2 linked regions of the Oryctolagus cuniculus genome follow. The protein of the gene in region 1 purifies or fractionates together with the protein of each later gene. This does not show direct contact. Links are inferred from orthologs where the notes say so. Each region holds a gene or a part of one and is shown in the gene's direction. Other genes may lie near its edges.

The links.
Region 2: the proteins of NAP1L1 (region 1) and NAP1L5 purify together in Homo sapiens (affinity purification with mass spectrometry; 3 studies listed by BioGRID and IntAct, counting the BioPlex papers as one, with this or other methods). This does not show direct contact. The link is inferred for Oryctolagus cuniculus from reciprocal best matches to the Homo sapiens genes NAP1L1 and NAP1L5.

The regions. Positions count from the first base shown.
Region 1 is NC_091442.1:78,589,741-78,593,652, reverse strand, and holds the start of NAP1L1 (nucleosome assembly protein 1-like 1), read left to right. Parts: upstream 1-1,158; 5' UTR 1,159-1,664; intron 1,665-2,287; exon of another isoform or gene 2,288-2,410; intron 2,411-3,912. UniProt on the Homo sapiens protein: Histone chaperone that plays a role in the nuclear import of H2A-H2B and nucleosome assembly.
Region 2 is NC_091439.1:76,946,173-76,950,084, forward strand, and holds NAP1L5 (nucleosome assembly protein 1-like 5), read left to right. Parts: upstream 1-1,735; 5' UTR 1,736-1,789; coding exon 1,790-2,347; 3' UTR 2,348-3,552; downstream 3,553-3,912.

The DNA.
Region 1 (3,912 bases):
TACTCATCTTATTTAAAAGAAAAATAAAGCAATCAAATATTAAAACAACCTGCTTGAGGGAACACTGCCAGCTTCCCTTTCAGGCATTTGGACAGTGACCCAGTTAACAGGGAGCTCTCTCTGTGTCTTTGTTGCCTCTTAATCAATCAATAAAAAAACAAGATTTATTTATTTATGTGAAAGAGTGACACAGAGATACCTTCCACCCATTGGTTCACTCCCCGAACGGCAGACACAGCTGGGAACCAGGGGCCAGGAACTCCATCATGGTGCTCTCCCATGTGGGTGGCAGGGGCCCAGGTACCTGCCTCATCTTCTGCTGCTTTTCCAGGCACCTTAGCAGGGAGCTGGGTTGGAAGTGAAGCAGCTGGGACTAGAACCTACATTGCAGATTGCAGCTCAGCTTGCTGTGCCACAGATCGGCCCAGAAATAACTTTTTATATGAACAATAACTACTTCCTCCTCCCCCCACCTCAAAATCCGAGTGGAGTGGCCCAGTTTTATGCTTGCAAATGTCTTTATGTCTGCTTCAACAACAGATGACTGGGTTCTCCTGTCTGCTCCTATCTTTCAGTCTGTTTCCCAGTCACATGTCTTGTAGCCTCTGGAAAACGCAAAGGCACACTTGTGGGAGAGTAAGAGCCCCAAAGGCAAACAATGTCTCAGTATTACAGTGCCAGTGGTTTCACTCTTCCCCTTGAAAGGCTCTGGGGACATTCAGCTCACACTTTGAGGATGACCATCCTAACAGTGAATTTTAGACAACCCAGCATCAATTGAAAAATTGCTGAGGTTTCACAAAGCCTGAGGATTTGCACAGGATTTGCTTTGTCAGAAAGACAAAAGCATTGAAAAGCATCCTGAGTACGCGTAAACATGCCTTTTTCACCAGTCAAAAGGACGAAAGCAGCAAAGAGGCACTGTTTGTCATGTAAAGGGACGGAGGCATAGTATATGGGGTCCCCTGAAGACAAATCTGCAGAAGATGCCGCCAAGGTGGGGGGGGGGGGTCACGAGGAAAGCACTGTTGTTCTCAGGCGGCGAGGGAAAATGGTTACCGGGGGCCTGGGAGTTGCAGGAATTGGGACAGGGATGTGGAAGCTAGAGATCTCGAGGTCCAGGGTGTGGCGAGTCCAGAACCGGGTGGCTCGGTCTCCATCCTCACTCACGACGCCGAGGGCGAGGCGCGCTGCGGAGGAGGCTCGTGGGTCAGCGCCCTTCCCAGTAACTGATGGGGTTGGGATTTCCCTTCCAGCGCAGCGGGGAGAAAAAGAGATGGCGGGGTGCGTGCGTAATCAAGGGAGGAAGACAGTAACTGGCGGGAACCGAAGAGCCCAACCGCGGCGCTGGTGCAGCGAGGGCAGGAAGAGATCACAGCGAGCTTACGGAGGTCGCCGGGGAAGAAGGACGGTTCTGTTACTTGGCAACCCGGCCTGGGCCCGCCTCTAGCCCGCGTTGCTAGGAGACGGCGAGGCCAGGGGGAGGGCGGCGGAGCGGGCCCTACGTGCTGACGCTAATTGTATATGAGCGCGAGCGGCGGGCTCTCGGGTCTTTTTTAGCGCCATCTGCTCGCGGCGCCGCCTCCCGCTCCTCCCGCCGCCGCTGCCGCCCTGAGTCACTGCCTGCGCAGCTCCGGTCGCCTGGCTCTCCCTACTAGCCGCCGGTAACGGATGGGGGCCTGGAAGGGCAGGGGGAATGAGGAGCCGGGCCGGGCGGCCTGCGCGGAGGGAAGGGACACAGGGACGTAGGGACGGGGAACCGCGGGCGGAGGCCGCTGGCTGCTTGGGGCCCCTCCGGGTCGCGCTGTGAGGCCGGAGCCGCTCGCGGAGTCTCGACCGCGTAACCTGAGAGGGACCCTGGGACCGGCCTGGGGGCGGCCGAGGGGACGCGGGGGTCGGCGCGGCCTGTGTGTGTGGGGGGGTGGTGAGGTTCCTCGAGCCCTACCGGCTTCTCCGCGCGGAGGGGGAAGAGAGGCCGCGGCGCGCCCGGGTGTCCCGAGGGCTCGCAGGCCACGCCGCGAGGGACGGGAGGCGCCCGGAATGCGGGTCGGGCCCGCGCGGCAGTGTCCGCGCCACCGCCTCGCCGCCCCTGCTTCCCCCTCACAACTACTGCCCGGCGGGAGGCCGCTGGGGGGGGGGGATGGAAAGAGCGGCGGAGGCTGCGAATTCCGACGGGAGGGAGGGGCTGCGCAGGGCCGAGTCCCCGAGGCGGGGAGGGGGCGGGGGCGGCCTCGAGGCTCCGGGGTTCTCCGCCCACTGGAGGCGGCGGCCGCGCTGGGAGGGGAAGCCCCCGCGGCTCCGCTCGACACGTGGTGATGGGCTGCGTGGCCGCCTCCTGGGCCCGGCGGGAGACCCTCGTCCTTGCCTAACCTTACTCAAGTTGTGGAGGGGTGGGATGTGCCAAGCCACAGTGAGTGAATAAGCTGGCCCGGGGCATCCCTCCCTCCCCTTGGTTTTTTTTTTTTTTTTTTTGCTCATAATCTTTTTATTGGTACGGGAGGAAAGTGTGAATGTTAGTCGGAGGCTGGTGGGGCAGGTCCCCACCGCTGGGTTTTCGAGTAAGTCCCGCTTATAAAGCGCTCACGTGAGCTGTTAGAACAAAAGATTGGTTTACGTATCCCAGGTACAGTTGGCGTTTAGATGAGTGTCTTGTGCAGGGCTTTCTTTAGGGAAGGTTGGTCCTCAGCGGTTCTGAGATGCAAAGAAAGGGCCTGTAATGTAGCAAACTGGCTCCTTGATTGAAGTTTCTCAAACAAGATGCTTGACGATCTGGTTTCTTTTTAAGATGGAGGGGTGTGGGGTGGAATGAGGTGTTAATGAGTGAGCCTAGTTGTACGCTGCCGCCTTGTCAGTGTGCCCCACTCCCTTAAACATCTTGGGATTGCAGTAGAGGGCGGTGGCACTGAGGTCCTTTCTCATAGAGCTAGGCTTTCGGAGTATTAGGAAAGATGCCCAGAGCCCCTCTGTGAGACTACCCCTGGTCTAATCAGTTCTGAACACAGCTATCCTTTATATTCTCAACTTAAACTGCTTACCCGGTTTCAGGAGAGCTGCAGGATTTTGTCATCTTTGAAAAAGAGATAGCATCAAAACATCTTTTGAAGCCAGTATTGAGTCCTATTTTCTTGTCAATTTAAATAATACATAGTACCTTTGATTGGACAAGGGAAAAGCTAGTGTATAGAATAAAGTGGAGAGAGGTTAAATGAGGTTTTCGGTGATTGTTAGGGACTCATGTGACTAAAGCATGTTTGAAGTTACCTAAATTCAAGTAATTGGCCTAAATCTAAACTATAGTTCTGAGAATATTGGTCCTTTGGAGGAAAGATGGAACTAATCAGTAGGTAGACTTGGATATCTGAGGTTATCAAACCTTGACTTAATAGATGCTCTTTTCAAGCCAACATTGTTTTTAAATTTCTATTTATTAAATTGACAGTTTCACCATACTAATTTGAAAATTTTGTGAATTTTATCTGTTGAATGGTACCTTCTTTTTATATTAGGCTCATTAATTGGCAAGCTAATAGTAAAATGGCACATAACTGCTTTTCCTTTCATGATGACCCCCCCCAAATCTTAATTGAATCAAAATGCTTTCACTTGTTTTTCTACTTGCCCATATGAGCTTCAGGCTTTTATTCTAAACTCCCTAAAATATATTCAGAACAACGTTTTTACAGGAGCAGGGGCTAAAAGAGGCAAGAGTTCTATTGGACTTCAAGGTCTGAAGATGTTGAAATAGAATGTTTTATTTTTTGCTTGGTTGGATATTTGAAGTATAGTGAAAGAATGAATCCTCATTCTAATGCGGAAATACTAATGATGGATTACTTCAGATCTTCAGTTGTAATCAAAACTGTAATTACTTTAGTTCTAAGTTTTAAGTATTTTAGCACCTGTTTGGCGATG
Region 2 (3,912 bases), on another chromosome or scaffold:
CACTCATTGGTTCACTCCCCAAATGGCTGCCGCAGCCAGGGACCAGTCAGGCCAAAGCCAGTAGCAAGGAGTTCCATCCTGGTGTCCAACATGGGTGGCAGGGGCCCAAGTAATGGGAATATATTGGGCTTTTTGCACCTAAGGTGTCCAGTTTTAAAAGATTACTGTAGGTTATCTCTGCATACTAAAACATTTTGTAAACTGAAAAATACCCATCAAGTTATATATTACATTTTGTAAGTGAAACACTCATGTAGCTTGCTGCTACATGTCAACACCAAGTTATTTACACACTAATATTCACAAGAATGATACACAGCACCAACTGTATGTTGCAAAGTTATTTGCAAAGATTCACACGTGTAAAGCTGCAGCAAATCCCAATACAGGAGGAAGTATTCCTCAGATCCCTGGAAAGTCCATTTGCTGCCATACCTAACACATGTGCTGGAATTCTTCATTCCGTAGCCAGGCATTTGGTGCAATGGTTAATGGCTACATCCTGTACCCCAGTGCCTGGAATAGAGTCCACTTTGGTTTCTGACCCAGGTTCCCACTGTTGTGTATCCTGGGAGGCAGCAATGATGGCTCAAGAACTTACTTGGGATCCTGCCACCCACGTGGGAGACCAAGACAGAGTTTCAGGCTCCTGGCTTTGGCCTGGCCCTGTCCTGGCTCTTGTAGGCACTTGGGGTGTACACCAACATACAAATCTCTACAAATAAATAAAAATGAATTCTTATTCAAGAAGCCCTGACACTGACTTAATAAACAAGATAAGTTCTGCTACTACAGAACTATTCCCTGTTTACATGATTTCAGAGCCAAGTTACAAGCAAGACACATGGAGCAGTCACAGAACTGCAGTGTTCCTCCAGGACAATGGCTGTGTGTACAGACACATGCCTGTGTGTCCCTAAGACACTAAACACGAGCTTCAACTGACCTTGTCCTAAGACCCATGCTACAGACCTCCCCAAGGGCTAAACACCTTCTAGAATGTACACCAGGACTCAGAACTCTGAGATTTCCTACTCAGATGGCTCCAAAACTGCTTGCAGGGCCGGTCCCACCAAGAGACACTTGGTGTCACTAGGACATTTGCCTCTAGGTCTGAGATGGCCAACGGAGGCAGTCAGGTAGACTAATGGGCACGACGAGGCTTGGAAATGCACACTGCCTAGTATACACTCTTGCACACCAGATTCCCAAAGGGTCAGAAAGGAGCCAGGTTTCCCGCGTCTCCACTCTCTGGAAATGAATGTGGAGGAATCAGAGAGGGGAGAAAGGCGGAGTCCACAGGTAGAAATGACCTATCACCCAGGCAAGGCTTACTACAGCGAGATGTGAAAAACAGCCAATAAAAGACACAGCGTGCTGGGGGCTTCAAAAAGTTCATGGAAAAGTGCCCATTTGAAATTCCATTTTCCAGGAAATTTGTGAAGCTCACGTGTGCCCAAGGTTTTGATGAGAGTGGGAATGCACGGAAACTAGGGGTTAACCGGCCAGGTGTCCAGCAGTGGGACAAGTGCCGCGGGCACCCACAGGGTGCCCCACTCCGCAGGGGCGGATGGTGGGGTTGGCTGAGGGAGGTGCAGGCGAGGGTGGCGGCAATGCGGGCGGACAGGCGGGCGGTCAGCGCGATCTACCCCAGTAGGAGCTCACGGATGTTACCTGACAGCCCGCAGCCAGTCAGGTGTGTGCCTGCGTGGGGGGAGGGGGGGGAGGGGCGGGGCCGCGGCTGACTTAACCCAGCGCGGGCTTCTTCACCGCCACCTCTGCCAAGCAGATGGGTTGCGCGGCCACTGTGGGAGCCAGCATAGACCTCTGCGGCAACACTTTGAACATGGCCGACCACAGCCCTGCGGAGCCGAGCCTGGCGGCAGCAGCGAACAAAATAATGTCCGAAGGTGATGGCGCCGACCCCGACGGTGCGCCCGGCGATTCTGACAGCACTGCTGCTCAGGAGACCCAAACCCCTGTGGAGAACACGCCAAAGCCAAAGAGCGACTTTATGGAGAGCCTGCCAAACTCCGTGAAATGCCGGGTGCTGGCCCTTAAAAAGCTACAGGAACAGTGCAGTAAGATAGAAGCTAAGTACCAGAAGGAATTTCATGCACTGGAAAGGAAGTATAGCGAGATCTGTAAGCCCCTCCTCGCCAAGGTCCAAGAGCTCAGGAGCGAGGTGAAGAGCTGTGCCTGGACCCTGGAAGGGGAGGAGGAGGACGAGGAGGAGTACGAAGATGCGGAGGAGGGTGAGCAGGAGGAGGTGGAGGTGGAGGGGGCGGCGGCGGCCGCACGCGACTCCCACCCCCACGCCGAGGTGCCTGAGGACGCCGAGAAGTAAGGGGACGGCGGTGCCGAGACGCGGAGAGCCGGCGACAGACCAACCCCATTCGTGTTATTATGATGACTTTTAATACTGTATTGGTGGACTTTTAAAAAGGCTCAGTTTTTTGGACCAAAATACAATGTGAATTTATCCTCACATTTCTAAAATAGATTCAAAAGGCAGCAATCAGATCCTGGCCAGCCCGTTTCCAATCCGACTCCAATTGGGACCACAGTAAATATCTCGCAAGGTATCCAAGAAAGCCGACTTCAGCTTCCGTCGATTTTGCTTGGCTTGGCTTCTCTCCGCTGCGAGGGTCGCGGCTGAGGCAGGAGAGGCGTCTGGAGCTGGAAGCGGCTCCTCAGCGCGGGCTTTGTACCGCGCGCACTGCACAGCACCCAGCCCAGCCGGAGCCCCGACTCAGCGCTTCATCCTTGCATTTCTGGTCCCGACACTGCCCAGTGCTGAAGGCAGAGCCCAGAAAACACCACCTTCGAGCCCTGGTTTCCGTAAGCCAGACCTCAGCAGCTTTGCACTGCAGGGGAGAGTGAGGCGGCGGTGGGATCCTGACCACGTCTTGAGTTCTGAATACTGAGAGAGGTGTGTTCCCAGAAGGGAGAGTGTCCAACCTGTATAATGTCGTTGACATTTGTTCTCCTCAGTTCCGACATGTTGATGTCTTTTCTGGGTAGTGTCTTGTTTATGAAGATTTAAAGATACCCCCCGACGTTTAAGTATTTGAATCACGTCCCCTAGTATTTCAGAAGTGTTAATTTACTCGAAGAGATGTAGAACGTAGCATATCCTGTAAAGCATGTGTATCCATCCAGTGTTACATAGTTTGATCTTTGTGAAGGCTTTCTGTCAAGTAGCTTTTAGAACTCCTCAATGAAGCTAACGTTTGGAAAAAATATATACTTGAAGAACCAATCTAAATGTGTGCCCTTACCCCAGCTCAGAATTATAAAGGGTTTAAGTTTGCTTGTATTAGCTGTGCCTTCATTATTTTGCTATGTAAATGTGAAATATTGAATATAAAATGGTGCATAATTGAATTTTACTGCTTGAGGATAGACTGGCATACAGGAAGGACTTTTAGGAAGAAGGCATTTCACATAAAGACTTAGCTTCTTTGTGGGTTTTGAATTATGTGTGAGCAAGAGATCTATAAAGAAACAAAGTTGTTTACCACTGTGGTATTAATAAAACAGTATTTTCAAAAAAAATTGTATTCTGACTACCTTTTCCTCATCTATGAAAGTAAGACTCTTTCCCTCAGAGGCAAGAACGAAGAACAAATAACTTACTACACATAAAACCCACCGAACAATGTCTGACACATAATGCTGAGTAATTTTTAGCTATTATTATTTCTACAGAAAAGATAGATACCAACTGGAAATCCAGTCCTCCTCCTCCTCACCCATTACAAAAGGGGAGAAAATGATCATTATATGCCTACATGTATGGTTCCTTATCAGAGGAGAACATGCCCCTTACTTCTGAAATAGGAAATTCAATAAACTATAAACTATTCTGTTTTGGTTTCCTCAATGTATAATCAGATTTTGATTTCCTTC